Pelodiscus sinensis: one gene and its partner. The protein of the gene in region 1 purifies or fractionates together with the protein of each later gene. This does not show direct contact. Links are inferred from orthologs where the notes say so. Each region holds a gene or a part of one and is shown on either strand. Other genes may lie near its edges. The genes, in order: MAPK7 and PFDN5.

Region 1 (15,103 bases):
AATTAGGTCACATAAAATTAAAAAAATCAAAATGAAACAAGCAAACAAAACATTGAAATGCCCTGATCTGATCCCCCCCGTATCCTGCTCCCGGAAATGTCATCCCAGTGTTTCCATGGCATGCTTCCCCACACAAACATATTCCCTCTTTGGAAAATGCCCCACCAGCTGTAGCCAGGAGCAGCTTTACTTGTGAACACTCACCCAGCCGTGTTTGTCACACTGTCGTTTCACGGTGTAGCCGCAAGAACAGCTGATCTGCAGTTGGCGTTCAGGGTCCCACTGCAATACCTTGGCTGTGTCTGGACTGGCAAGTTTTTCTGCAAAATCAGCTGCTTTTCCGGAAAAACTTGCCAGCTGTCTACACTGGCTGCTTGAATTTCCACAAGAACACTGACTTCCTAGTGTCTGAAATCAGGGCTTCTTGCGGAAATACTGTGCTGCTCCCGTTCGGGCAAAAGTCCTTTTGCGCAAAGCTTTTGCGCAAAAGGGCCAGTGTAGACAGCTCAGATTTGTTTTCCACAAAAAAGCCCCAATCGTGAAAATGGCGTTCGAGGTTTTTTTTGCGCAAAAGCGCGTCTAGATTGGCCACGGACGCTTTTCCGCAAAAAGTGCTTTTGTGGAAAAGCGTCTGTGCCAATCTAGACGCTCTGTTCCGCAAATGCTTTTAACGGGAAACTTTTCCGTTAAAAGCATTTGCGGAAAATCATGCCAGTCTAGACGTAGCCTTCTGTTCTTGTCCTCAGGGTGAGTTCCCCAAGATGCCCCTTATTTCCAGTCTGAACTGGTCTGCCATTGGTTCCTGTTAGACCATGGGTTCCCAAACTGGGGGGTGTGCCCCCTGGGGGGCGTGAAAAAATTCCAGGGGGGGCACGAGGCAACCCAGACGCACCCCCCCCCCCGTCAATCCCACTTTGAATTTTGCTGCTATGTTTTTGGGAGTGGGGGTGTGAGGGTTCCTCAAAAATCAAAAAGAGGGCACGATGCCGAAAAGTTTGGGAACTGCTGTGTTAGGCCTGTGTCGGCCAGGCTGGACAGCCACTGATCACTGTTCTGCTCCTGCCTGAGGTGTTTACAGAGCACGACCAAGTCACCCTTTAGCCCTCTGTGCTCCTGGAACTAGCCAGAGCTCCGGGAATCTCTCTCAGGCAGGCTGCCCGACCCATTGACCCTTCTCACGGCTCTTCTCTGCCCCCTCTCCGATCCATCACTGTCCTTGAGTGGGGGCCCCGGAACTGGACACAGGACCCCAGCAGCAGGGCCCCAGTGGGAATCACCTCTCAGCTCCTACTCACCATTCCCGTGTGTGCCCCCAGGACCACACTAGCTCTTCCGGCCACGGCGTCGCGCTGGGAGCCAGCATTCCCTGGAAGCGGGACGCAGGAAAAATTCGAATACTGCCTAGCTGGTTAGCAGGATACCCACCGCTAGGTTGGTGTTTCTCCTGGTGGTGCACATCTTCACACACTGCGGTGCACATAACAAAATTTATTCTACACAGATGGAAAAAATCCGCGCATGGGTAGAAAAGAGTAGAGGAAACATTGGGGGTTCGTGCTGGGTTGCATGTCCATGAGGATCTTGTTGGAGTCCCTGCTTGGCAGGGTGCAGTCTGGCCTTGTGCTCCGTTCCTTCTTGCTTCGGAGAACCAAACAGCTGGCTCTGACGAGTCTGAGGATGATGGCCATTCATCAATAATCCATTGTCTGGCTCAGGGGGCTGGGGAATGGATCACAGGGCCTGACCCCTTTAGGGGCTCCAGCTGCCAGCTGGCCCTTGGGCAGAGGCTTGGCTGGCTCAGGGGGCTGGGGAAATGGGACAAGGGGCCTTTCCCTGCTAGGGGGCACCAGCTCCGTCTGGCCCCGGAGCAGGGTAAGGCTGACTCAGGGCAGGGGGCAGATTTTCAGGGGGGTAGCATTCCCCCCCGAATCATACAGCCCGGGGCAGAAATAGGGATACACTCTCTCTGCAAAGCACGCGCTGAAGGTATAGAGGTGGGACATGCTGTGGGCGTCGTAGAAGGAAACCTGGCCCCCTTCGTAGTCCAGGTAGACCCCGATCCTGTGGGGCAGGTTCTGGGGGCGGAGCACCACTGGGGGCATGTCCTTGGCCATGAGCTCAGTCCCGCCCCGGAGCCGAATGACCCAGAAGCCCTTGCTGGGGGAGGCCTGGATCTTCCCCTTGCGGTTGATGGAGGCATGGACCACGCCCAGCGTCCACGCCTGCTTCTCCCCAACCTCCACCTCCCAGTAGCACCTCCCGGAGGCGAACGCCGCCGCGCCCAGCACAGCCACGCAGAAATCGAAGCGGGCGGGAGTGTCGGGGAGGGGCCGGCGGTGGTGTCCGTCCCGGACCCGGGTCCGATCCTCTGAGAGAACCAGGCAGGGATGAGCCGTGGTGGGATCCAGCGTCACCTGCGGCAGATCTGGAGAGGGACAAGAAGGGGGTGGGGGAGGGAGGGTTAAATCGAGGCCCCCTGCAGCACTGAGCTGCTGAGGGCCAGCCCTGCCAGCCAGGGGAGAGCGCCCCCTGCTGAGCCCTGCCCCACAGCGCCCCCTGGCACCACCCTGGGGCACTGGGCCAACCCAGAGCGCTCCCCGCAGGTCCCCTGCAGCACAATGCCCCCTAGTGCCACTCTGGTGCACTGGGACAGCCCTGCCTGCCTGGGGAGAGCGCCCCCTGCTGGGCCCTGCCCCACAGCGCCCCCTGGCACCACCCTGGGGCACAGGGTTAGCCCTGTCTGCCAGAAGACAGCGCCCCCTGCTGGTCCCCTGCAGCACAGTGCCCCCTAGCACCACCCTGGTGCATTGGGCCAGCCCGGGGAGAGAGCCCCCTGCTGGGCCCTGCCCCCTCCCTGCCCCACAGAGCCCCCTGGCACCAGCCCTGCCTGCCAGGGGAGAGCACCCCTTGCTGGGCCCTTTTCTCTTACCGATGCTGAGGATGGATTTCATGTCCTTCCAGGCAGTATACTGGATTGGCCCTTTAAACTGCCCCAGGATCTGCCACATGGACCCTGTATTTGGCCCACGAGGCGTAGCCAGATGCTGCTTCGCCCTGTATAAGGGGGGAGAACCGCCCCGGCCACAGCGTATTAGGGACTGAGCAATGGGGAAGGGGGTGTGGGGAGGGACCAAGGAACGCGGCGGACTTACCAGGTCAGGAAGGATTTGATGTCCTGTGAGGGACGGACACAGAGAGAGAGAAGCAATAAGTATAGCTCTGTCTCTTTAAGGCCCTGTGTGGGACTTGGGGCGCCAGCTCCGGGGACTCCCTGCGTGGGGTGGGGAGCAGACACGGGGCTCTTCCACACTAGGGGGCGCTGGACTCACCGTCAGGAACTCCGCAACGTCCCCTTGGGGCAGGGGGCCCTGGGTCTCCATGAGCATCTCCCGCGCCGCGTGGCATTTCCCCTCCAGCTCCTGCAGGTTCCTCTCCAGCGCCCGCAGCTGCCTGCTGCCCGCCTGCCGCAGCCCCACCTGCCACTGCTCCTCCCGGGCAGCCAGCCAGCCCCGCAGCTTCCCGAACTCCGCCGAGATGTGATCCCCCAGGCCGAGCACCGTCGCCTGGAGAACAGGGACCCGCCCAGTGCCCAGAGGATGCAGCGGGACCAGCACCCCAGGAGCTAGCGCTCCCAGGTACCTGCCTGCATCCTGCTCACCCTCTCTGGGGACCCAGCAGCCCACGTGCTTGCTAATACAACCCCCAGGCACCTCGAGGTTACACTGGAGTAATATTCCTCCAGCTACTCGAGTATCCAGCAGCTTCTACCTAACTACTCTCTGTGGCTACTACTGTCTGGCCCCCGGCTCTCGAGATCCTTCTGTAAGTCATCTCCACTGCGGACCAGGTAACTCCATGCGCAGCGCCAGGCAAACACGCAGAAAGCTGGGAATCGTTAAGAAAGGGAGCGAGGATAATCCAGGGTACAGCCCCATCTTGAATACTGTGTGCAGATGTGGTTGCCTCACCTCAAAAAACTACCTTTGGCATGGGAAAAGATTCAGAGAAGGGCAACAAAAATGCGGAGGGGTTTGGAACGGGTCCCATATGAAGAGAGATTAAAAAGACTGGGGGGGATATGACAGAGGTCAATAAAATCAGGACAGGTGTGGAGAAAGTGAGCAAGGAAAAGTTCTTTACTGGCTCCCATAACATCAGAACTAGGGGTCATCCAATGAAATGAACAGGTAGCGGGTTTAAAACAAACCAAAGGAAGTTTTTCTTCACGCAGGGCGCAGACAACCTGTGGAACTCCTCGCCAGAGGATTTGGTGAAGACCAGGACTTTAGCAGGGTTCAAAAAAGAGCTAGATAGATTCCTGGAGGTTAGGTCCATCAGTGGCTACTAGCCAGGTTGGGTAGGGATGGGGTCCCTGGCCTCTGTTTGTCAGGAGCTGGGGAGGGAACACTTGATGCTTCCCTGTTGTGTTCCCTCCCTCCGGGGCCCGGCCGTCAGCCCACTGGGTGAGACAGGCCTTTGGTCTGACCCCGTCTGGCCATTCTGCTGTTCTTATCTCCCAGCGATGGGAAAACTCAAGTCTCTGGCATAGTCACAGATACCCCCAGCCCTGCCCTTCACAGCTACTCGGCCCTGCTGGCCCCCAGAGCCCATGTGGGGGGGTGGGGGGTCCAGGCTCCTGCCCTTCCCGCCACCCAGCCCCAGGTACCTGGTGGTTCCAAATCCTTTCTTCCACCTCCCTCTTCAGCCGCAGGAGCTGAGCGAGGCTGGACTCCAGCTGGGCTTCAGCTGAGGCCGGCTCTTCCTACAGGGCAGGAAACAGGCTGGAGGTGAGGGTGGGGGATCACAGGCCAGAGCCCCCACACTCCCCCCAGAGTGGGGGACAGAGCCCAGGTTCCCCGTCTCACCTGGTGCTGTACGGTGGCCTGGTGGGTGGGGTTCTCGTGCGTGGCTGGTCCCCCGCGGATCTCCCTGCTGCATTCTCCCTCCATCTTCCGGGGTTCGTTGTAGCCCTGGCCCCTGCCCTCTGGGCGCACCCTTTCCCCTGCCCCACCAGGGCTCACCCCCCTGGCCTGGTCAATCAGCTTGCCCAGCAGCCTGCAGGGGGCATATCTCCGGTCGGGGCAGAGCTCCCGGCATTCAGGGCAGGCTGGAGGGACCCCCATGGTGCCCCACGCTGTCTCGATGCAGCCCTGGCAGTAGGTGTGGCCGCAGGGGAGCGTGACGGGAGCCCGCAGCCAGTCCAGGCACACAGGGCAGGAGAACTCCTCCGAGAGACAGCCCAGTTGGGGGGGATTGGAAGCCATGAGGGGCAGATCCTGGCTCCCCCTGTTGTAACTACCAGGCCCCACTGCCCTCCCTGAGCCCGGGAGAGAGCCCAGGAGCTGCTGTGTGCTGCGTCCACAGGGAAACCCGGGGAAAGGTGCGGCCAGCTGGGTGACAGGTTAGGTTTGCTCTGCGCTCGGTGAGTTTATCACCCACAGGGGGTGTGCCTGGGAGCAGGGCCCAACACACCCAGCCAGGGAGCGATGCTCAGAGATAGACAGGCACAGGCACACGCACAATCGCTCTCCCCCACACATGCTGACAGCCAGAATTACACCCACACCGAGGCCACAGACACACACACACACACACACACACACACAGAATCTCTTTCTCTCTCGCACAACCACCCCCGAATGGCCAGAAATTTGATACACGCACTGAGCTGGACTCATTTCTCAGCCTCGCAGGAGGCAGCCCGGCTCTTAGCCCTGCCGAGCAGGGCAGGTCTGAGGGGAACACACTGTGCTTACCCACCCCAAAATCTAGGGGCGACATTTCACCCTGAGGCTGGGGGCCCAAAGACCCCACTAACTCCCCTCTCCTAGGGCGGGGGGGCAGAGCGGCCAGACAGGGACAGACCAAAGGTTCAGCTAGCCCAGTGTTGCCCGTTCCAAGCCCCTGGCACAGAGGCCAGGGACACCCACCCTGCCCAGCCTGGCTAGTAGCCATTGCTGGACTCAGCCTCCATGGACTCACCAGGAGCCCTTGTGTGCCCTGTCACGTCCCCTGCCCTCCCCAGGCTCCAGTGGGATTGTCACTCCCAGCCCCACCCGCCCCACAGCTGGAGGCAGAACACAGGAGTCCTGGCCCCCAGCCCCCCCCGCTCTAACCACTATCCCCCACTGCCCTCCCTCAGCTAGAACCCAGGAGTCCTGGCCCCCAGGCCCCCCCGCTCTAACCACTATCCCCCACTGCCCTCCCTCAGCTAGAACCCAGGAGTCCTGGCCCCCGGCCCTCCCGCTCTAACCACTATCCCCCACTGCCCTCCCTCAGCTAGAACCCAGGAGTCCTGGCCCCTGGCCCTCCCGCTCTAACCACTATCCCCCACTGCCTTCCCTCAGCTAGAACCCAGGAGTCCTGGCCCCCGGCCCTCCTGCTCTAACCACTATCCCCCTCTGCCCTCCCTCAGCTAGAACCCAGGAGTCCTGGCCCCTGGCCCTCCTGCTTTAACCACTATCCCCCACTGCCTTCCCTCAGCTAGAACCCAGGAGTCCTGGCCCCTGGCCCTCCTGCTCTAACCACTATCCCCCACTGCCCTCCCTCAGCTAGAACCCAGGAGTCCTGGCCCCTGGCCCTCCTGCTCTAACCACTATCCCCCATTGCCCTCCCTCAGCTAGAACCCAGGAGTCCTGGCCCCTGGCCCTCCTGCTCTAACCACTATCCCCCACTGCCTTCCCTCAGCTAGAACCCAGGAGTCCTGGCCCCTGGCCCTCCTGCTCTAACCACTATCCCCCACTGCCTTCCCTCAGCTAGAACCCAGGAGTCCTGGCCCCTGGCCCTCCTGCTCTAACCACTATCCCCCACTGCCCTCCCTCAGCTAGAACCCAGGAGTCCTGGCCCCTGGCCCTCCTGCTCTAACCACTAGCCCCCACTGCCCTCCCTCAGCTAGAACCCAGGAGTCCTGGCCCCTGGCCCTCCTGCTCTAACCACTATCCCCCACTGCCTTCCCTCAGCTAGAACCCAGGAGTCCTGGCCCCCGGCCCTCCTGCTCTAACCACTATCCCCCTCTGCCCTCCCTCAGCTAGAACCCAGGAGTCCTGGCCCCTGGCCCTCCTGCTCTAACCACTATCCCCCACTGCCCTCCCTCAGCTAGAACCCAGGAGTCCTGGCCCCTGGCCCTCCTGCTCTAACCACTAGCCCCCACTGCCCCTCCAGGCGCTGTTCGAACACTCTCAGCCTCTCCCCTACAAAGGGCTGCCTGGCCCTTTAAATTCCCGGCCCTCCCCGCCCCCCGCCTCGCCCACTGTTGCGATCTGATTGGATAGCAGTAATGAGGAAGTAATCGCTGATTGGCTAGAGGGAGTAAGAGGGATGTATAAAAAAGACGAATCAGTTTTCTTTCTGACTGGCTGCTCGGTCCATCTATCCCTAAGAGAGGGCGGGGTTTAGGGAAGACACTCTCTTTCTGATTGGCTGGGAACCACTCTGTGATTGGTCAATCCCTGCTAAGCGGTGGCGTTTCGGTAAAAATCGCCGTCGCCCTGCTCCTCTACTCTGATTGGCTAATTTCTCAAGAAGCTAGCCCGTGATTGGCCACGCCTTGGGAGGGCGGGAATTGCGTAAGGAAGCCCTCTCCCTCGCGCGATTGGCTCATCCGCCAGAGAGTGGGCGGGACTTGGAGCCGCCCGGCCCCTGCGCGCTTCTGCGGGTCTCGCCCCTTCCTCCGCCGTGATTGGCCGGGCGGGCGGGGCGACGCCACATCCGGGCATTCGGGGCAGGCGCTGGGAGCGGCGGACCCGAGGGGGAACCGGCCCGCGGTTGGGGAGGCGCGGGGCGCGAGCTGGTGAGAGAGGCCGCGAGGCCCCGCCCCCTGGGGAAACCCCGCCCCCAGCGGCCCTCGGCCCCTCCGCGAAGGGGAGAGAGTCTCTGCCCCATGACGCCCCGCCCCTCCGTTCCAGGCCCCGCCCCCGGCTTCCAAGCCCCGCCCCTCCCTTCCAGGCCCAGTCACATGGCACCCACTCCTGCCCCGCCCCGCCCCCTCCCTGCCAAGCCCCGCCCCTCCCTTCCAGGCCCCGCCCCCGACTGCCAAGCCCCGCCCCTCTCTTCCAGGCCCCGCCCCTCCCTGCCAGGCCCAGTCACATGGCACCCACCCCAGAGACACTCCTGCCCCGCCCCCGCCCTGCCAGGCCCCGCCCCCTCCCTGCCAGGCCTGGTCCCATGGTGCCCAGTCCCCAAGACTCCTGCCCCATCCCTACCTTGTCAGGCCCCGCCCCCACCCTGCTGGCTCCGCCCCTCCCTGCCAGGCCCCGCCCCCCTCCCTGCCAGGCTCCGTGCACTGTGACCCCACCCTCTCCTAGTTCTCTCTTCCCCTCCCCCACCACAGCTGATTGAGGCCCTGTACCCCCCCACCCCCCGTTGCCTGCACCACCACTCCCGGATGCCTGGGTTCTCTCAGGGAGCCTCTCCCTGATCTCCCCCTGCCCGGCCTTCCCTCAGCAGGGGGCAGGCACCATGGCAGAGCCGCGGAAGGAAGAAGAGGAGGAGGCGGAGGAGCGGGACAAGCGGGAGCCGGCGCACCGGGCCACCGTAGCAGCCAAGAACTTGGCCATCCTCAAGGCTCGCTCCCTCGACGTCACCTTCGAGGTGGGGGACGAGTACGAGGTCATCGAGACCATCGGCACCGGAGCTTACGGCGTGGTCAGCTCCGCCCGGCGCCGGTCCACAGGTCAGCTCGGACCCAGCCGCACTCCTGGGAGGGGCATGGGGGCTCGTGGGTTAGAACGGGAGGAGGGCTGGGAGGCAGCACTCCTGGGTCTAGTCACAGCCCTGGGAGGGGAATTAGGCCTAGAGGGGTCAGAGTGGGGGGCTGGGAGGCAGGACTCCTGGGTTCCATAGGGGAGGGCTGCGCAGGGGATGGCATCTCTACTCTGACCCTCTCTGCTCTGGTTCCCTCCAGGCCAGCAGGTGGCAATCAAGAAGATCCCCAACGCCTTCGATGTGGTGATGAACGCCAAGCGGACCCTCCGCGAGCTTAAGATCCTCAAACACTTCAAGCACGACAACATCATCGCCATCAAAGACATCCTGAAACCCGCGGTGCCTTATGATGACTTCAGATCCGTGTGAGCGCCCGCCCCGGATCCTGTCCCTAGCTTTGGGAGGGGAGTAGGGTCGCCAGGTGTCCGGTTTTGAACCGGACAGTCCAGTGTTTGAGCTTTCTGTTCGGGAAACAAATTGAGACACTAGAACTGGCTGGTATTTTCTAAATAAGATGGAATGTAGGTTGTGATGTAATGTCAAGTGTGTCCATTTGGCAACCCTAGGAGAGTGGCGTACGGGGCTGGGAGCCAGAGCTCCTGAGGCCTATCCCTGGTCCTGGGAGGGGAGTGCGATCTAGTGGTTAGAGCTAGGTGGGGTTGGGAGCCAGGACTCCTGGGTTGTCTCCCCGGCTTTGGAAGAGGTGGGGTTGAGCAGGGAGACTTGTGCGGGGGCCTAGACCTCTGGGGTCTCTAGGGAGGGGTGTTTAGTGAGTGAACGTGAGGGTGGAGCTGGCAGCTAGGACTTCTGGGTCCTCTTCCCCACTGACCTCCCCACCCCCTGGCAGGTACGTGGTGCTAGACCTGATGGAGAGCGACCTTCACCAGATTATCCACTCCTCCCAGCCCCTCACGCTGGAACATGTCCGATACTTCCTCTACCAGCTGCTCCGGGGTCTCAAGTACATCCACTCGGCCAACGTCATCCACCGCGACCTGAAGCCCAGCAACCTGCTCATCAACGAGAACTGCGAGCTGAAGATCGGGGATTTCGGCATGGCCCGGGGGCTGTGCACCAAGCCGGACGAGTACAAATACTTCATGACCGAGTACGTGGCCACGCGGTGGTACCGGGCCCCGGAACTCATGCTCTCCCTGCATGAATACACGCAGGCCATTGACATGTGGTCCGTCGGCTGCATCTTTGCCGAGATGCTGGGCCGCAAGCAGCTCTTCCCCGGGAAGAATTACATCCACCAGCTGCAGCTGATCATGACGGTGCTGGGCACGCCCTCCGCCAAGGTGATCCACGCCATCGGGGCTGACCGGGTACGTGCCTACATCCAGAGCCTGCCCTCCCGCCAGCCGGTGCCCTGGGAGACCCTCTACCAGCAGGCCGACCGCTCGGCCTTGGCGCTGCTGGCCAAGATGCTGCGCTTCGACCCCCGCGAGCGGATCACCGTGGCCGAGGCCCTCAAGCACCCCTTTGTGGCCAAGTACCACGACCCGGACGACGAGCCCGACTGCGTGCCCGCCTTCGATTTCGACTTCGACAAGCAGGTCCTCACCAAAGAGCGAATCAAGGAGGCCATTGTGGCCGAGATCCATGACTTCCATGAGCGCCGCGAAGGGATCCGCCGGCAGATCAGCTTCAAACCCGCCCTCCGGCCGGCCGATGCCACCCCGCCCGCTGCTGCCCCCTTGCGCTGCCAGGACGTGGACATGCCCAGCGCCGGATCCACTGGGGGAGACTATGCCATGGAGTCGCCAGCCCCCGTGGAAGTCCCTTACCCTCCGGAGACCATAGACCTGACCTCGCCTGGGGCTCCCCCCAACCTCGAGGGGCCGGCCGAGGTAAAGGCTGAGCCGGAAGCCTTGCCACCGAAGAGGGAGGGGGCCATCTCGGACGACACCAAGGCGGCGCTCAAGGCCGCGCTGCTGAAGTCGGCGCTGCGCAATAAGAACAAAGGTGAAAGGCTGGGATGTGGGAAGGGAGTGAGGTCTAGTGGTGAGAGCAGGGCGGTGGCGGGGGCTGGGAGCCAGGAATCTTGGATTCTGTTTCTGATTTTCCTAGAATCAGAGATGTAGAGGACTGGAAGGGACCTCAGTAAGGGTATGTCTACACTACCCTCGTTTCACGAGGAGTAACGGTAGTTCGGAATAGGCACCCTAGTCCGAACTACCTAGTTCGAGCCCCGTGTAGCCACGCTACACGGGGTTCGAAGCAGCGGGGATTTAAAAATGGCGGCTCCCCGCTTATGCTAATGAAGCCCGGGAAATTCAAATCCCGGGCTTCATTAGCAAGTGCGGTATGCATACATTACCCCGCTAGTTCGAACTAGCGGGGTAGTGTAGACATACCCATAGTTATCTGGGCCATTCCCCTGCCCTAACGGCGGCTGGTAGGTGATTGTCTAACCTGTTGTTAAAAACCTCCAAGATGGAAATCCCACAGCCTCCCTAGACACTCTGTTCCGGAGCATAACCACCCCGGCAGGAAATCTGTCCTGCTTTCCATTCCAAACTGCACTTGCTGCAATTTTAGCCTGTTGCTTTTTGTCCTATCCTCGGAGGTTAAGAAGAACACATTTTCATCCTCCTTGTAACAAGCTTGAAAACTTATTCTGTCCTTCTCAATCCTCTTCTGCAGACTCAAGAAAACCAGGTGTTTTTTCAATCTGCCCGCACAGGTCATGTTTTCTAGACGAGCGATCATTTTTGTTGCTCTCCTCTTGACTTTCTCCAGTTTGTCCACATCTTCCTTGAAATGTGGCACCCAGAACGGGACACAGTACGGTCTGGAGTGGAGCTGCTTGTGTCTTGCACCTGCTTATACTCCCCAGAATGATGTTTGCTCACAGTGTTACTCTGTTAACGCTTATTTACTTATGGCGCATTATGGCCTCCAGATTCTTTTCTGGGGTAGTTCTTCCTCGGGTCCCAGTTTGGATGTGTGCACTTGATGCTTCCTAAGAGGGATATTTTGCATTTGTTTGTACAGCCTCTCCCCGAGTGACGAACGAGTTACGCACCAAACACTGGGCCGTAACTGGATCCGTTCGTAACTCGCACCCCATTGAGTTACACGCGACCGCGCTGTTCGTACGCGCGGGTTGCGTCCGTAACTCGGGGACCGCCTTTACGACCGCTCCATGGGAGCTTTGGTCGTAAGTGCGAACGGTCGTAACTCCATCGTTGGCTCCCCAAGAGCACAGGGCGGACAGGTGGCCATGCTCTGGTTCCCCAAGAACACAGAGCTGGTAGGTAACAGAGGCTTGTGGGCTGGTCACATGCTCTGGTACCCGTTACTTGCAGGGTGACCGAATTGTCCACACAGGAAGGCTCACCAGGTGTGGGCCATGCTTCTTCTATGGGCCACTCCCCCCCCAATGGCCCGTTACCCTGAGGGGGCCCTTCCCAGCCAGCTGTCTAGGTTGGACGCCTCTGGCCTCGCGCGTCAGGAGTGAGGGGCACCGGCAGGGCTGGGGGTGATGCCCGGGGCTGCCGGGAGCGAGCTGACTCCTCTGTGCTTTGTTCCCAGACACCCTGAGCTCCGTCCCTGAGCCCCTGGACATGAGGAAGCCGGTGACGGCCCAGGAGCGGCAGCGGGAGCGGGAGGAGAAGCGCAAGCGGCGGCAGGAGCGGGCCAAGGAGCGGGAGAAGAAGCAGAAGGAGAAGGAGCGCAAGGAGCTGCGGCGCGGCGACGTGCTGGGCGGGTTGGTGCTGAGCGAGAACGACCGCAGCCTCCTGGAGAGATGGACCAAGATGATTGACCGGAATCATCAGAAACTGGCTCTCAATGGGCCCATGGATCACGCCCCAACCACGCCTGGCAACCTTGTTCCTGCTGGCCACGCCCCGGCCACGCCTGTCGGTCCTGTACCAGCCACGCCTGCTGGCCACGTTCCACCGGGAGCCACTGGTCATGTTCCACCAGGGGCTGCTGGTCACCTCCCAGCCACACCTGTTGGCCACGTTCCACTGGGAACCACCAGCCACCTCCCAGCCACGCCTGCCAGCCACGTTCCACCAGGAGCTGCCAACCACCTCCCAGCCACGCCTGCCGGCCACGTTCCACCGGGAGCCACCAACCACCTCCCAGCCACGCCTGCCGGCCACGTTCCACCAGGAGCCGCCAACCACCTCCCAGCCACTCCTGCCGGCCACGTTCCGCCGGGAGCCACCAACCACCTCCCAGCCACGCCTGCCGGCCACGTTCCGCCGGGAGCCACCAACCACCTCCCAGCCACGCCTGCCGGCCATGTTCCGCTGGGAGCCACCAACCACCTCCCAGCCACGCCTGCCGGCCACGTTCCGCCGGGAGCCCCCAGCCACCTCCCAGCCACGCCTGCCGGCCACGTTCTGGGAGCCACAGGTCACGTTCAACTGGCAGCCACTGGCCAACTCCCAGCCATGACTGCAGGTCATGTTCCGCTGGGAGTCACTGGCCATCTCCCAACAACTTCTGTCGGTCATGTTCCACCAGGACCCACCGGCCACCCTCCAGCCACGCCTGCTGGCCACCTTCCACTGGGACCTGCTGGCCACCTCCCAGCCATCCATGCTGGCCACCTTCGACCAGGAGCCACTGGCCACCTTCCAGCCACCCCTACTGGCCACCTTCCACCGGGAGCCGTTGGCCACCTCCCAGCCATGTCAGCTAGTCACATGGCTGCGACGTCGGATTTCTTGAGCTTCCCTGAGAAGGCGCCAGCCGGCGGTGGCGCTAAACTCACTGTGCTGCCTATGACTGCAGACCCAGCCAGTGGCCCCGCTCCCAACATGGTGCAGTACTTCCCGGCCCCGCCCGGCCCCTTCCCTCCAGTTCTCGTGGCCTCCACGGCTTGCCACAAAGCTTTGTCGAAACCTGAGTGCCTTCTGAGCGTCAAATACGCCCCGGGCCAGATCTTCCAGGCCCCCTTCGGCTTGGCATGGCCTGGGGCCCAGGGCCCAGAGAACTGGCCCATGGCCGGGAGGCTGGCACCCGGGGAAGGCCCAACGACCCCTAACGGGGCACAGCCGCAAGAGGGGCCGTCGAGCCGCCCCCTGGGCAGCCTCGTGCCCCCAGGCAGGGAGGGCGTGGGGTTGGACCCGGCCGTCTTCCTGCAGGAGATGGGGAAGAGGACCCCGGAGCCAGCGGTAGGAGGCGTCAAAGGGCCCAACCAGCACCCGGTCGCCACAGCCCCGTTGCCGGACACTGTCCCCACGGAGTCACCGGACATCACCATGGTTACGCAGCAGCTCTCCAAGTCGCAGGTAACGGGGCCTTTCCCTTTTAAGGGCAGCGCCTCAGATCCGTCGAGGTGGGCCCGGATGGGGCCGCTCCGTCTCTGCCGGGGAGCCGATAAGCGGGGGGGGGAGAGATGGGCGCCCGGGGGTGCCAGGCTCACTGTGTCTTGCTGCCATCACAGGTGGAGGATCTCCTGCCGCCCGTCTTCTCGGTGACCCCCAAGGGCAGTGGAGCGGGCTACGGCGTGGGGTTCGATTTGGAGGAATTCCTCAATCAGTCCTTTGACATGGCGGCGGAGAACAGGGACAGGTGAGCCCTCCCTGCTGCGCGAAGCCGCTAGAGCCGCTGCCGGACATCCTGCTCCCCAGCCCCCCCACTGCGTTAACCCTGTAGGTCCATTCATCCGAGTTCTTCAGCTGCCCCCCACTTTCCATAACTTGCACCCCCTGGTCAAACTACATCTCCCATGATGCCCCATGGCTTCCCTCTGGCTGAGCTGCTGCAGTGCATCATGGGAGTAGTAGCTGGGTTATCTCATTCTGTCCTCTGAGCCGGGCTCCCTCATTGGACTGGCTGGGGAGCCCTACCCACAGTTAAGCTTTCCCAGGGAGCTCCTGGGGCATCCTGTCAGACTACAGCCCCTGAACTACAACTCCCATGAAGCTCTGCAGCATCACTAGGTCCCTGGGTCACAGGTTCCAGTCCTTCCTGGGGGCTCACGGTGATTAGCTGCTCAGCCCCGCGTCTGTCTGATCTGTTTTTTCTTCTTCCTCCCCTAGCCAGGGCGATTCAGCCCCTCTCTCTGCCTCCCTGCTGGCTGACTGGCTGGAGGTGCATCGGATGAACCCAGCCGATATGGAATCCCTCCAGCAGGAGCTGCAGCTGGGCTCTCCCATGATCCTCTCCGACATTCCCGACCTCCAAGATGCCTGAGACTGAGACCCCAGCCCCTCTGCGCCGTCTCTCCTCATGGGGGCTGCGGGTGGGGTCAGGAGCAAACCCCTCTTCCCCTCCCTCTGGGGTCAGGATGGGCTGAGTCAAGCAGCAATTAGACGCTCCTGTCTCCTGCTCGTGTGGGTCCGTTGCTGGTTCGCCTGCTGCCCCGACAGTCTCACATGAAGCAGGCACCATGCATGGATGGCAGAGCTTGCCTGTACCTTCAGGGCACTGC
Region 2 (15,000 bases), on another chromosome or scaffold:
TTGTTACAGATCCTGTTTCTCACCCTCACTCTGATTTCAGTAATGCTCTTCCGGTCAGAGCTGATGGTTTTGCTGGCCTGGGTCTCACGTGGGGAGGCAGTTTCCAAAAGCCAGCTGAAGACTATCTGCTTTCATCCCTCCGTAGGATTTCCCCAGGGTGCGACTTCTGTTTCATCCTCCTCCTCCCAATGGAAAAATACCAATGTCAAGGGATTCCAGCCCCAGGTGTAGGCACATCCCTTCTTGCCTGTTCCATCAGCCTGGGCTCAGAGCAGCCTTTCGGCCCCCCGCCTCTGCCCCTCCTGTTTTCTGGGTCCCGCGGGGCTCTGCTGCACTGACCCGCCCTGCTTTCCTCTCCAGCAAAATGAAGAAAAAGTCAGTGGCCGGGGTTGCTGCTCAGCTGCAGGAGCTCACCCTGCAGGGAGGGGGTGCCGGTTCGCAGCTCCAGCACCTGGAGCAGCTCCAGAGCTTGTTTGAATTCAGTGCGGCAGGGCTGGGCCCAGGAGAGACGGAGAGCTTCAGGGAGCAGCTGCAGCAAATCCCTGGCGGTATGTGCTGGGCGGGAGGCTGCCCTTCAGACCGGGTAGGGGTGGCTTTTGGCTTTTCCGGCAGCGAGGTGCCCGTCTGGCCCTGGCTGAATGGGCAGCGCCATTGCTAAGCGAGTCTGGGCTCCGGTGTCTCTGGAGCAAACAGCCGTCCCCGCTGGGGACCTTGTTTGCACCCTCAGACCCCAAGCGAGGAGTGAAGGGCCTGGGGAACCAAATCCTCCTGCTACAGGGCAGGCTGTTGGCATGTGGGCAGCTTGCCCTGTCCCCGTGTCCATGCCACTGCACTGGGAGGGCCTGGGAACACGCCAACGGCTCGTAGCTGGGCGTGGCCCATTGGGTGACCTCCCCTAATTGCTCCTGGCAGGTGTAGCCGTGTGCCTGCTGACCCTGGGGAGCCTGCAGCCTGGCACTGCTGGGGACACCTTGCTGCTAACCCGCCTGGAGAAGGACAGCCCTCCAGTCACCATCCACATCCCAACAGCTCACAGCAAGGTGAGGGGCAGGGTCCATGGCACAGCAGGCTGGCAGCAGTGGGGGCTCAGGACGGGGGTCACAGTGCTGTGTGTCTGCAGGCGCCCCTGAGCACCGTGCTTGGCGAGTTTGATGCCATCCAGAGGGAGCAGAAGGAATTCAGCAGCTGCACGGACAAGAGGGACTGGTGGATGGGCCGGACGGAGCTGGACAGAAGGATGAAGGTGGGTGGGGATGCAGGAACTCGGCGGAGCAGGAGCCTTGGGCTTTCTGGCTACCTCTGCCCCACCTTGCTCTGCCAATGTGTTTCCCATGGCCCTATGGGGGAGCTCCCTCCTCACAGACCCTTCCACTGAGGGGACTGGGGGGGCTTTGCTGTCAGTGCTCCAGACTCCTGTTCCCTCCTGCAGGTCCTGACGGAGACTCTGGAGAAGGAGGTGCTGGGATGCTGGAAGGGGGCCTTGCTGCCGGCCAGCCCAGACCCTGCTGTGGGCGAGGAGGCCTCCAGCCTGCAGGAACGTCTCCGGGAGTGTGGCTGGGACGGCTCTGATCTGGCCCTGCTGAAGGTGAAGGAGAGTCCTGGGAGGGCCAGCCGAGGAGCTCCGAGCACGACCCGGCTCTTGGCTTTGGCCGGGCAGGGAGATGTGGCTGGTCTAGCGTTAGCCTGCTGAGTTGAGCCTGTGACTGGTGGGAAGGGAGCCAGGTCTCCACTAATGGGACCTGACCTCAGGAGAGCACGTGGGTCCCATGGGGGGGTTTGAGGTGTTGGTCCCACTTCTGGCCCAGTCGCTCACGCCTCAGTCTCTCTCTCCCCTCAGCTCGTGTTGACCAGCGCTCACCTCCTCACCCCCCAAGACGTGCAGTGCCTTGCGTCGGGGCTGTGCCCAGCACAGCCGCATGCCGCGCAGGCCCTGCTGCAGGAGGCGCTGGACAGGGGGAGATCCCGCAGCGGGCAGGCGAGTGGTCACCTGGTTCTTGTGCTGGACAAGGTTAGTGGTGGCCTCCCCAAAGCATGTCCCTGCCAGCCCAGCCCCTGGCTCATCGGGTGTCTCTCTCCTCTCCAGCACCTGCAGAAGCTGCCCTGGGAGAACATGCCCTGCTTGAGAGCCCTGCCAGTGACCCGGCTACCCTCCTTGCGCTTCCTGCTCAGCTACACCCTTGCCCAAAGAGTAAGTGGGGGTGAGGCGGGCCAGGCTGGGACAGTGGGTAGCCCCTTTGGGCCCTTCCTCGGGATGGGGAAATCCCCTTCCCCCGTCCGACCTGCTCGACTTACTGAGCTTGAGAGATCCAGGCAAGAGGAGCAGTGGCCCCCTCCCTGCTCGCTGGAGGGGCTCTGAGGTGCCCTGGGGCAAGTTCCAAGTGCTGTGAGCCAGGACTAAGTTCACATGGCTGGACGGGGCACTGCCCAGTGCCCTGGGTCCTGGGGTGCTGTGGCTGCCCACACGGATCCTCTCCAAGATCTCAGCCTGTGCCTGGGGCTCTGTAGGATGCTGCACCTAAGGGGGGAAGTAACACGTCTCGGGGGGGCCTCATTTCAGCATCAGCCAGGGTCTGTCCTCACCCGCGGGGTGAACCCCAGCAATGCCTTCTACGTCCTCAACCCTCACGACAACCTGCCTGGGACAGAGGAGCGCTTCCGAGCCTGGTTTGAGAGGTGGGTGCGTCCCTGCCTGTGTGCCCAGTGGGGAAGGGTTAATCTGCCCACCTCAGACGGAGACGTGTGTCCCCTGAGGCCTCAGCAGGTGCCCGCAAGGGGCATTGCTAAGCCAGGCCATGGGAGTTTGCCTGTCACTGGCAGGGCGGCGGGCGCCCTGCTCTGTTCTCACTCGGTGTCGTCTCACAGCGAACCCGGCTGGAGCGGGGCGACAGGAGCAGTCCCAAGCCAGGAGCAGATGCAGTCGGCTCTCACGGAGCACGATCTCTACATGTAAGTGTTGCTGGCGGGTTGGGGGCCACCTACAAGCCAGCGGGACATGGGTCTCCAACGGTGGGTGGAGCCAGCAAGCAGGGCGAGTCCCTCTCACAGATGTGCACCTCAGACTTCTGGGTACCATTGCCAGCTCCCCTGCTCCCCACTCTGAGGTCCAAGGAGACCCCTCTGCAGGATGCTGCTGCCGATGGGTTTCTGTAGTGGCAAGTGGCACTCTCCTGTGTAAAGGACAAAGCGTAATGATCCTGAGGGATGGGGTGCGCCCAGGGGAACAGTAGCAAGGCACCCCATCGGGCCATGGCTGCAGAGCATTTGTCCTGCGAGTCAGCCTCACTGGAGGCCAGGGAGCTGCGTGGGAGAGCAGTGACCCCAGCTGTCACCAGATCCCCTGCCGTGCTGGGCACTAACCACAAACTCTGCCTTAGCTACGCCGGGCATGGAGCAGGGGCTCGATTCCTGGATGGCCATTCGGTCCTCAAGCTGGACTGCCGTGCTGTGGCCCTGCTCTTCGGCTGCAGCAGTGCTGCCCTGGCCCTCCGTGGCAACCTGGAGGGAACCGGTATCATCCTCAAGTACATCATGGCGGGATGGTGAGTCTCCCCCCCCGGCCCACGTGGCTTTAGAGCTGTGTGTAAACCAGGGAGGTGCGAGGGTTGGAGGGCTCCTTCCTGACCCCTGTAGAGGCTCAGTTTGGACCCTGAAACATGAGGTCTGGTCACCCTGGCTGAGCTCGTAGAACTCCATCTGCTAATGGCCATAAATCAACATCTCTAATCCCATCACAGCCTCCCACTCTGCTGCCTGAGGCCAGTGCAAGCTTCCCTCACTCACTCACCACACACATCTAATTAATAGCAGGGAGAGGGTTAGGAACTGAACTACCCTCTTTGTACTTAGGCCAGACATGGCTATGCTGGGTGAAGGTACCGGCTCCAGCCCTGTGTCTGTTCCCTTTACAGCCCCTTGGTGCTGGGAAACCTCTGGGATGTGACTGACCGAGACATCGACCGCTATATGGAGGCACTTCTCCAGAGCTGGCTGAAGTCAGGACCAGGTGCTCCTCTCCTCCAGCATGTTGCCCAGTCCCGCCAGGCCCCCAGACTCAAATACCTGATTGGTGCAGCCCCCATAGCCTATGGCTTGCCTGTGATTCTGCAGTGAGACCCCTGTCCAAGGCGTCATGGGACTTGGATCATAAAGGAGATCCAGCACCTGACCTCTGCCTCCTCTGGACCAAAGCTCCTCTGAAAGTGCCTTTTGTTCAGATGCAGATTTTCAGCCTTGTCTGTCTGATCTCGGCAGACAGCCCCTGGTTGGCTTCTCATAAGGACTTGTGGATGGATGATCTCTTAAGGTTCACTGTGGCACATTTAAACAGCTGCAGTGTCTTGGAGTGGCTGGTCTGGGAGAAGAATCGTATGCATGTAAATTGTCAAATCTGTATGAATAAGTTATTTTAATAAAAGTACCTGAGTTTTTATATTGTAAACTGCCGTACAAGTGTTATGGTCAACTGAAATAAAGCTGGTGGAGCCATAGCCTTGAATCATGTGGCTTTCCTGGGCCCCAGGGCAGGCAGACAATTCACTCCTCCACTTCTGACCTAAATCGAAATGGAACCAGATTGCTAGTACTTAACATTAAAAAGGTCGTAGAGCAGTTTTTAAACTAAAGACTGGGGGAAAGCCAATATGATTCTAGGTTGTATCAACAGGTGTGTTGTAAGCAAAACTCGTGAAGTCATTCTGCCGCTCTACTCTGCACTAGTTAGGCCTCAGCTGGAGTACTGTGTCCAGTTCTGGGCGCCACATTTCAAGAAAGATGTGGAGAAATTGGAAAGGGTACAGAGAAGAGCGACAAGAATGATTAAAGGTTTAGAGAACATGACCTGTGAAGCCAGGCTTCATGAACTGGGCTTGTTTAGTTTGGAAAAAAGAAGATTAAGGGGGGACATGATAGCGGTTTTCAAATATCTAAAAGTGTGTCGGAAGGAGAAAATTTGTTCCTCTTGGTTTCTGAGGACAGGACAAGGAGTAATGGGCTTAAAGTGCAGCAGGGGAGGTTTAGATTGGACATTAGGAAAAAATTCCTAACTGTCAGGGTGGTCAAATATTGGAATAAATTGCCAAGGGAGGTGGTGGAATCTCCCTCGCTGGAGATATTTAAGAACAGATTAGATAGTCATCTGTCAGGGATGGTGTAGACGGAGCTTGGTCCTGCCTTGAGGGCGGGGGGCTGGACTCGATGACCTCTTGAGGTCCCTTCCAGTCCTATTATTCTATGATTCTAGGTGTGGAGAAGCACATGGATTGGACAGAGATCTATTGGGGAGGCTATATTAATAGAGATGTTCTAGTCAGGAGGAGATGATGGAAGTATGGGTCAGGTCAAATGAGACAATCAAATGAAAGAGTCTAACATCAGGAAATGGCAGACATAAATAGTGACAAATTATTAAAGTGCTTATATGTAAATGCTAAAAGTCTAAAGAGTAAAATGGGTGAACTGGAGTACCTAGTTTTTAAAGGAGGATATTGATATAATAGTCATCATGGAAATTTTGGTGGAATGAGGACAATCAATGGGACACAATCATACGAGGGTACAAAATATATTGGAAGGACAGAGCAGGTCATACTGTGGCACTATATGTGAAAGAAAATGTAGAATCAAATGAAGCAAAAAATCTTAAATGAACCAAAATGTTCCATAGAATCTTTATGGACAGTAATTCCACGCTCCAATAATAAGAATATAGCTGTAGGGATATATTATCAGGACCGTGATAGTGACTGAGAAATTCTGAGAGAGACTAGAGACGCTATCAAATTAAACTCAATGGGTGTGTCTAGACCGGCAAGTTTTTCTGCAAAAGCAGCTGCTTTTGCGGGAAAAACTTGCCAGCTGTCTACACTGGTCGTTTGAATTTCCATAAGAACACTGACTTCCTACTGTTGGAAATACTATGCTGCTCCCGTTTGGGCAAAAGTCCCTTTTGTGTAAAGCTTTTGTGCAAAAGGGCCGGTGTAGACAGCTCAGATTTGTTTTGCACAAATGGCAATCGGGGCTTTTTTGCGGAAAAGCGCATCTAGATTGGCACGGACGCTTTTCTGCAAAAAGTGCTTTTGCGGAAAAGCGTCCGTGCCAATCTAGATGTTTTTTTCTGCAAATGCTTTTAATGGAAAACTTTTCCATTAAAAGCATTTGCGGAAAATCATGCCAGTCTAGACATAGCCAATAATAGCTGGGGTCTTCAACTATCCCTGTATTGACTGGGTACACATGACCTCAGGATGGGATGCAGAGATAAAATTTCTTGATCCATTAAATAACTGCTTCTTGGAGCAGCTGGTTGAGGAACCCACAAGGGGAGAGGCTATTCTTGATTTAGTCTTAAGTGGAGTTCAGGATCTGGTTCAAGAGGTAAATATAACTGGACCACCTGGAAATAGTGACCATACTGTAATAAAATTTAACATCCCTGCAGTGGGAAAAACACCTCAGCAGCCCAACACTGGCATTTAATTTCAGAAAGGGGAACTACACAAAAATGAGGAAGTTAAACAGAAATTAAAAGGTACAGTGACAAAAGTAAAATCTGTGCAAGATGCATGGAAACTTTTCAAAGACACCATAATAGAGGCCCAACTTAAATATATACCCCAAATTAAAAAACAATAAGAGAACCAAAAAAGTGCCACTGTGGCTTACCAACCAGGTAAAAGAAGCAGACACAGATGAAAAAGATATCTTTTAAAAAATGGAAGTCAAATCCTAGTGAGGAAAAATAGAAAGGACCATAAACTGTCAAATTAAATGTAAAAATATAAGAAAAGCCCCCAAAGAGTTTGAAGAACGGCTAGCCAAAAACTCAGAGTAATAGTAAAATGTTTAAGTACATCAGAAGCAGGAAGCCGGCTAAACAACCGGTGGGGCATTTGGATGATCGAGATGTTAAAGGAGCCCTCAAAGATGATAGTTGTAGCAGGGAAGCTGAATAAATTCTTTGCTTCAGTCTTCGTGGCTGAGGCTATTGGGGAGATTCCCAAACCTGAGCCATTCTTTTTAGGTGAGGAAATCTGAGGAATTGTCTCAGATTGAGATGTCATTAGAGGAGGTTTTGGAACAAATTGATAAACTTAATACTAACAAGTCACCAGGACCCGGATGGCATCACCCAAGAGTTCTGAAAGCACTCAAATGAGAAATTGCAGAACTAGTAACTGTGGTTTGTAACCTATCCTTTAAATCAGCTTCCGTACCTAATGATTGGAAGAGCTAAGGTGACACCAATTTTTGGTGACACCAATTTTTAAAAAGGGCTCTAGAGGTGATCCTGGCAATTTCAGGCCAGTAAGTCTAACGTCAGTACCAGGGAAATTAGTTGAAACTATAGTAAAGAATAAAATTGTCAGACGTGAATGAATATAATTTGTTGGGGGAAAGTCCATGTGGTTTCTGTAAAGGGAAATCATGCCTTACTAATCTGCTAGAGTTCTTTGAGAGGGGTCAACAAACATGTGGACAAGGGTGATCCAGTGGATGTTGTATACTTAAGATTTCCAGAAAGCCTTTGACAAATTCCCTCTCCAAAGGCTCTTAAGTAAGTTGTCAAGGGATAAAAGGGAAGGTCCTTTTGTGGACTGATAACTGGTTAAAAGACAGAAAGCAAAGGGTAGGAATAAATGGTAAGTTTTCTGAGTAGACAGATGTAACTAGTGGGGTCCCCCAAGGGTCTGTCCTGGGCCCCATCCTATTCAACTTATAAATTATCTAGAGAAAGGGGTAAATAGTGAGGTGGCAAAACTTGCAGATGATCCCAAACTGCTCAAGATAGCTAAGAGTGTGAAGAGCTTCAAAAAGATCTCACCAAACTAGGGGATTGGGAAACAAAATGGCAAATTAAATTTCATGTTGATAAATGTAAAGTAATGCACATCGGAAAACATAATCCCAACTATCTATACCATATGCTGGGGACTAATTTGGCTATAACTACTCGAGAGAGATCTTGGAGTCATTGTGGCTAGTTCTCTGAAAACATCCACTCAGTGTACAGCGGCAGTGAAAAAAGCAAATAGAATGTTAGGAGTCATTAAAAAAGGGATAGAGAATAAGACAGAAAATATCCTATTGACTCTACATAAAACCATGGGACGCCCACATCTTGAATACTGTGGCCAGATGTGGTCGCCTCATCTCGAAAAAGATACATTGGCATTGGAAAAAGTTCAGAAAAGGGCAACAAAAACGATCAGGGGTTTGGATCCCATATGAAGAGAGATTAAAAAGACCTGGACTTTTCAGCTTAGAAAAGAGGAGGCTAAGGGGGGGGGGGATATAACAGAGGTCTATAAAATCACAACTAGTGTGGAAAAAGTGAATAAGGAAAAGTTATGTACTTATTCCCACAATAAAAACTGGGAGGGGGTGTCCTAATGAAATTAATAGGCAGCAGGTTTAAAACAAACAAAAGGAAGTTTTTCTTTACTCTGTGCACAGTCAACCTGTGGAACTCCTTGCTAGAGGATTTAGAGAAGGGGGAGAGAGGCTTTAGGCCACTCTCAGGGCAGCAGAGAGCCCCAGCATGAAGCCCCCATGGCTGCCTCTCTGCAAAGCTCCTTGCTGAGCTCCTGTAAGCAGCCTGGATGTTAAGTGACAGGTGGTGGAGCTGTGCAGACCCCAAGAGCAGAGGCTGCCCCTTCTGGGGGGTTATCCAGCCTGGACAGGCTAAGGCCTGTGCAAACCAGACTGACTCCACTGGCACCAGCAGGCGCTGCTGTTCTGACATAGCCCTGGGGCCGCCTTGCTGGGCCAAGCAACTCCCCTGCAGACCTGCTGCCCACGGGGAGCCTGGCCCCGCCCCGCCATGGCAGCCGGAAGTAGGCGGAGCCTAGCTCCCCGCCATGGCAGCCGGAAGTAGGCGGAGCCTAGCCCCGCCCGGAGCAATGGCAGCCGGAAGTAGGCGGAGACTACCCCCCCGACAATGGCAGCCGGAAGTAGGCGGAGCCCCACAGTGCATGGGCGGGCCGAAGGAACCATAGAGTCCGGCTCGCGCAGGCGGCTTCCGGCCCAGAGCGTCTCCCCGGCCCGCGCTCCCCAAGATGGCGCAGCAGGTGAACATTACGGAGCTGGCGCTGCCGCAGCTCGAGCTGCTGAAGAACCAGCTGGACCAGGTCAGGCCCCGCCCCCCCGCGAGACCCCCCCCCGGCCCCGCCTCCCCCGGGGACTCCGGGAGCGCCCCTCCCCCCCGCGAGACCCCCGGCCCCGCCTCCCCCGGGGACTCCGGGAGCCGCCCCTCCCCCCCGCGAGACCCCCGGCCCCGCCCCCCGGGGACTCCGGGAGCGTCCCCCCCTCCCCCCCGCGAGACCCCCGGCCCCGCCCCCCGGGGACTCCGGGAGCGTCTCTCCCCCCCCCCCCCGCGAGACCCCCGGCCCCGCCCCCCGGGGACTCCGGGAGCGTCCCCCCCCCCGCGAGACCCCCCCGGCCCCGCCCCCCGGGGACTCCAGGAACCGCCCCCCGCGAGGCGCCCCCCTCCCGCGAGACCCCCCCGGCCCCGCCCCCCCAGGGGCCTCCGGGAACCGCCCCCCGCGAGGCGCCCCCCTCCCGCGAGACCCCCCCGGCCCCGCCCCCCCAGGGGCCTCCGGGAACCGCCCCCCCGCGAGGCGCCCCCCTCCCGCGAGACCCCCCCCCCCCCGGCCCCACCCCCCAGGGGCCTTCGGGAGGCCCCCCCGCGAGACCCCTCGGGAGCCGCCCCAGGAGCCCCCCTGAGCCGCGTGTCCCCCCAGGAAGTGGAGTTTCTCTCCTCCTCCCTCGCCCAGCTCAAGCTGGTGCAGACCAAGTATGTGGAGGCCAAGGACTGTCTGAGCGTGCTCCGCCGCAGCAACGAAGGTGGGTGCCGGCCGCCCCCTTCCCCAGGGGAGCCCCCTTGGCCCTAGGCTTCCCCCCCCCCCGCTGCCCTAGGGTCCGTCTGTCCCATGCCCCAGGGGAGCCCCCTTGGCCCTAGGCTTCCCCCCCCCCGCTGCCCTAGGGTCCGTCTGTCCCATGCCCCAGGGGAGCCCCCTTGGCCCTAGGCTTCCCCCCCCCCCCCCCCCGCTGCCCCAGGGTCCGTCTGTCCCATGCCCCAGGGGAGCCCCCTTGGCCCTAGGCCTCCCCCCCCCCCCGCTGCCCCAGGGTCCGTCTGTCCCATTCCCCAGGGGAGCCCCCCCTTGGCCCTAGGCTTCCCCCCCCCCCCCCCGCTGCCCCAGGGTCCCCTCTGCCGACAGTAGCCAGCACCAGGTGTCCCAGAGGGGTGGACCGAAGACAATGATCAAGCGATTTGTCTCCTGCCATCCCTCTCCAACCTCCGACACACAGAGGCCAGGGACACCATTTTATCCCCTGGCTAATAGCCTTTTATGGACCTCACCTCCATGCTGCTGTTGGGAGGGGGCCCCGTGCTGTGGGGCAAGGGAGGGTTTGGGTAATAACAGGCATTTCTTTGTCTCTCCAGGCAAAGAGCTGCTAGTTCCACTCACCAGCTCTGTATCCTTTCCTCACCATTGTGCTCCTGCTCCTGACTCTCCAGTGTGATTCTCTCCCCAATGGGACACTGAACCCTTGTGCCCCAGGACGCAGCCTGCTCTGCCTTGGGTGCAGCCAGCAGCTTAGGGTTGAACGTTTCCAGTCAGTGGGCAGGAGGCTGGGAACAGTCACTGGGACCCTTTTCCTTTGTCACTCATCTAAGCCCTGCTGGACTGAAGCTGCTCCTGTGAAACTGGTCTGTGCTGTTCCATATGGCCGGCCGGCCACCCACGTCCCAGCTGGCTCGTTGCCAGAGGGGAGTAGGCCAGTAGAGGGGAGCTCACCTCTAACTCTGCGGGGGGGCTGCACTGGGGCACTTGTCCAGCTGCTGGTCTTGTGCCTGCTCTAGGAGTGGACGGAGCTGCTAGTGCCCCACTCAGTCCTTGCTGGGCCAGTGGGTTTTCCAGTGCTCTTGGCGTTTCCTGCTGGCCCTGGGTTGGGCTTCTCCTTGGGCCAAGCAGCACCGAAGGGTCTGGGGACTGATCGGATCTTTGGATGCCTATTGAAATTGGTTCCCCTCATCCCCAGGCGGCCTGCCCAGTTCATACTAGCAACGTGGTCCAGTGGGTAGGGCACAGGCCTGTGACTGTCTAGTCCCCGCTGTGTGAGCTCGGGTGAGTCACTTCCCATCCCCCCTTCTCTGCCTCCTTTGGTTAGACTGAGCGCTCTCCAGGACAGAGACTCTCTCTGCATGTTGGTACAACGGAGTCCTGCCGCTGCAGAAGCCTCGTGTAACGGTGCTTTACGCGGAAGCCCTGGACGAACTGTCCTCTGCGCTGAAGGAGCTCGGTTGATTTCTACCCGTTCCGGATCTGGCCCTCTTGCGGGTAGTGTGAGGCTAAGCTGCTATCCCCATAACCTTCTTGCTCTTACGGTTCCCCTGCTGGTCCTGTCTTTTCCTTTGACCTCCCTGGCAGATGTACGTCCCCGGGAAGCTCTCTGATGTTGGCCATGTGCTGGTGGACGTGGGGACGGGCTACTATGTAGAAAAGGTAGGAGGCGCTCTCATAGTGGGTTGACCCATGAGCAGCATTAGACAGGGAGTGGCAGAAAGCGCTTTACCTACTTATAAAGTGGTTGGACTCTTCCCCACTCCAGCCTCTTTGCATAAATCATGCTCACAGCTGGAGTGCAATTCTGCCCTGGGACAGAGAGGAGTGACTGCTAGCAGGTGAGGTTAGTGCGCTGCAGTTCCCTGCTCGGGGCTTGGGTTCATTCCCTTAGCACTTTCCCCTTTGAGACAGTGCCATCAATTTCTATCTTGTGGGGTGCTGAGGGGCTGTTGAACAGCTCTTATGTTACACCCCAGAGGTGGCTGCATTTCAGAAACAGGTGATACCTGGATGCACTGACAGCTGTGATGCTTCATTAGTTAGTGCAGGGGTGGGGGACCTGTGGGCCTGGCTTACCTTGATCCGGCCAGTGGCGAGGCATGGGGCCTCCCCTGCAGCGGGGCAAGCCAGTGCTCACGCTCCAGCCTTGTGGCAAGTCTCCAAGCCTCGGCGCCCCTCTGCGGGGCTGGCACATGAGTCACCCAGTAGCAGGGCAACCTAAGTCCCGAGCCTCAGCATCCCTCATGGGGCTGGAGCGCAAGGGGAGCTCCAGTGCCCCAAATTGTGTGAGGTTTTTGCTTCATGTGGGGTATTTGGGGGTTTTTTTGCTTCTCTTGTGGGTGGTTCCGGATTTTTCTGTGGGTCGGTGGCCCCCAACTAAAGGATGGTTCCCCACCCCCAGTATAGAGCTCTGAGTTCTCTGATGGAAGGTGCTGCCGAAAGGCCAAACATGCTATTGCCTGAGCAGCCCAGTCTTGGAGCAGTTTGCTTACTCTGTCCTGTGCGTCACTTCCTTGTCCCTGCACTTCAGGCAGGGGGTAAAGCCCCTCCCACGGTGCCTGCCTGTCCTGAGGGTGGGCATGTCATGCTCCCATCCCTCTTGCAGACTGCAGACAATGCCCGCGATTTCTTCAAGAGGAAGATTGATTTTCTGACCAAACAGATGGAGAAGATTCAGCCGGCGCTGCAGGAAAAACACACCATGAAGCAAGGTAGGGACCTTTCTCTGGGGCGGTGCCCACCACTGGCACCACCTGTCCTTAGCTGCGAGAGGCCCTCAGCCATGTGCTGTCACTGGCTGTGTTCTTTCCCTTGCAGCTGTGATGGAAATGATGAGCCAGAAGATCCAGCAGCTAACAGCCACGGGGGCGTCACAGGCTGTGGCAACAAGGGCATAGCCTGTGGCATCCGTCCCCAGCCCCATGGGCCCTACACGCCGCGGTGCTGCACTTGGACTGAGGCATTTTGTTCTGTTACAAGCAGAGTCTTAAAATCACCGAGGAAGCAGCTGGAGCTGAAACTGCCTGGCCCCAGCCGCCAGGAGGCATCTGCTCTCTGTGCTGGTGGCTGTTACACATGCGCAGCCTGGGGGGCTTTCCCCTTGTGTATGCGGCAGGTGATCTCCCTGGGAGAGAAATTAAACAGTTGCTGACTGGGCTTGGCCACCTCTGGTGAGAAATACGCAGGGTCTGGGCAAAGGAGCTGTCCAGCATGGGGTGCAGCCCCTTCCAATCCAGGGGAGGCTCTTGATGGGGGTGGGGGGCTCTGGGCTGCTGTCTCTACCCTGGCTTCTGTGCCCCTTTCGCAGCACAACTTGGGCCCTGGCAGGACAGGGAGGCAGCAGGCGGGTGGTAAATTCGGGCTGCACCCTTCTTGCATGGGGATCCCCCAAGGCAGTGGGTGAGGCAAAGCTCTGCTAGCTACCTGTGTCCCACCTCGTGTGCAGGCCTTGGGCTGAGGGTGGCCAGCCAGGTTCAAGCCCTACTGGAAGCAGGCAGCCCTGGCCAGCTGCTCAGTGCTGGTTCTCACCCCACACCCAGCTGTTCTGAGGAGGGGGAGTCTGTCCTGCATTGCCACCCATGCTGAGGATGGGTTCAGCGCTAGGGCCCCTGCATGCAGCTCATACAGCTAGGATGGGCAGAGTGGCCTGGCACCTGGCTTCCCCCAGGAGGTGCAATTGTCTCCCTTGGTGCACTGCTGTAATTTGGGCACCACTCTTCCTTGCTGCGTTCGCACCTCGGGTAATGCCCCTGCCCAGAGCGCTGGTCAGCCCTCAGCTGGGGTGCTGTGTCCGTTTCAGGAAAGTGATGGAGCAATTGGAGAAGGGCTGGAGCACGAGCTAGCAGGGAAGACGGAAAGAATTGGGCTGGTTTAGTTTGGAAAGGAGAAGACAGAGGGGCCACGACAGCGGTTTTCAGGGATCTAAAAGGGTGGATCAAGGAGAAGGGGGAGAGTCGTTCTTGGGCTCTGAGGCCAGGACAAGAGCAATGGGCTTTAGCTGCAGCAAGGGAGGTGGTGGGATCTCCATCACTGGGGCTATTTAAGAGCAGCTTGGATGGACCTGCCAGGGATGGTCTCTGGTGCTTGGTCCAGCCGTGGGGGCAGGGACTGGACTCAGTGGCTGCTCAAGGTCCCTTCCAGTTCTGGGATTCTATGCTGCTCTAGCTTAAAGCCACCTGCTGCTGGGGGCAGGGCAACTGAAGGGCTGGCCCCTGAAAGTCCAGCTGGACTACAGCAGAGACACACCAGCAGCGGCTTCTTGCCGAGTTTCCTTCCCAGGCAACCAGGCTGAGCTGCAGCATTTACGTTCTGGCAGCTGCACCTGGGTTCTAGTCCCCTCGGCCCCCACAGCTCAAATGCCCGGGGCTGCTGGCCTCCGGGAAGCCAAGCCCTGGGTTTGAGTAAGATGTTGCTCCTGCCACGGCGCAGGCGGGGAGAGCCACTTGCCCCCTCTGCCCATCATGCCCTGGGACTTCCTGAGCGGCCAGAGGCAATTTGCAGTGTAGGGCCTGAGTTTTACCAGGTGCAGAGCGCCAGGGCTTGTGTTGGGCATTAGCCACTTGTGAAACCTCAGGCCCCCTCGCAGGGGGCAGCCCCCAGCCCTGCCTCCCCCGGGAATGGAGACCGGTCCGATCACATGTATGTACTGGGGCAGCCCCTGCAAGGGGCTAAGCCACTCGGCATGGTGGACCTGCCCTGGAGCAGGCCCAGGTGGCTCCCTTAGCAAACACGACCTTCCTCCTCCCCAGCCAGGTGCCTTGCACTGGGTCACCAAGTGGCTTTCCCCTGCGGGAGGGAACACAGCACAGTCTGTCTCTGTCACCACCCCCGGAGCACAAGTCCTTTCCCCTGCGGGAGGGAACACAGCACAGTCTGTCTGTCTGTCACCACCCCCGGAGCACAAGTCCTTTCCCCTGCGGGAGGGAACACAGCACAGTCTGTCTGTCTGTCACCACCCCCGGAGCACAAGTCCTTTCCCCTGCCAGCACCCCCAAGCAGAAAGCTGGCGGGTGGGGGGAACAAGCAGCTCCAAGGCTCTTTAAGGGGACCAACACCCCTTGAGCGCTTTTAGGCCAGGACACCCCAAACAGACGCATGGCGCCTTTTCCTGCCCACCAAGCCCCAGCCACACAGGAGCCACACCCCTAACAGCAGA

The links.
Region 2: the proteins of MAPK7 (region 1) and PFDN5 purify together in Homo sapiens (affinity purification with mass spectrometry; 3 studies listed by BioGRID and IntAct, with this or other methods). This does not show direct contact. The link is inferred for Pelodiscus sinensis from reciprocal best matches to the Homo sapiens genes MAPK7 and PFDN5.

The regions. Positions count from the first base shown.
Region 1 is NC_134714.1:134,155,614-134,170,716, forward strand, and holds the start of MAPK7 (mitogen-activated protein kinase 7), read left to right. Parts: upstream 1-7,641; 5' UTR 7,642-7,789; intron 7,790-8,442; 5' UTR 8,443-8,457; coding exon 8,458-8,671; intron 8,672-8,902; coding exon 8,903-9,068; intron 9,069-9,550; coding exon 9,551-10,671; intron 10,672-12,243; coding exon 12,244-13,958; intron 13,959-14,113; coding exon 14,114-14,241; intron 14,242-14,711; coding exon 14,712-14,865; 3' UTR 14,866-15,103. Other genes in the region: E3 ubiquitin-protein ligase TRIM69-like, read right to left, coding at 1,884-2,425, 2,930-3,054, 3,153-3,175, 3,330-3,563, 4,667-4,762, 4,866-5,264. UniProt on the Homo sapiens protein: Plays a role in various cellular processes such as proliferation, differentiation and cell survival. The upstream activator of MAPK7 is the MAPK kinase MAP2K5.
Region 2 is NW_027465863.1:4,547-19,546, reverse strand, and holds PFDN5 (prefoldin subunit 5), read left to right. Parts: upstream 1-8,967; 5' UTR 8,968-9,053; coding exon 9,054-9,125; intron 9,126-9,737; coding exon 9,738-9,840; intron 9,841-10,441; coding exon 10,442-10,473; intron 10,474-11,429; coding exon 11,430-11,504; intron 11,505-12,450; coding exon 12,451-12,556; intron 12,557-12,662; coding exon 12,663-12,742; 3' UTR 12,743-13,001; downstream 13,002-15,000. Other genes in the region: ESPL1 (separin), read left to right, coding at 361-548, 913-1,040, 1,121-1,243, 1,430-1,585, 1,838-2,008, 2,084-2,188, 2,558-2,673, 2,863-2,946 and 2 more. UniProt on the Homo sapiens protein: Binds specifically to cytosolic chaperonin (c-CPN) and transfers target proteins to it. Binds to nascent polypeptide chain and promotes folding in an environment in which there are many competing pathways for nonnative proteins.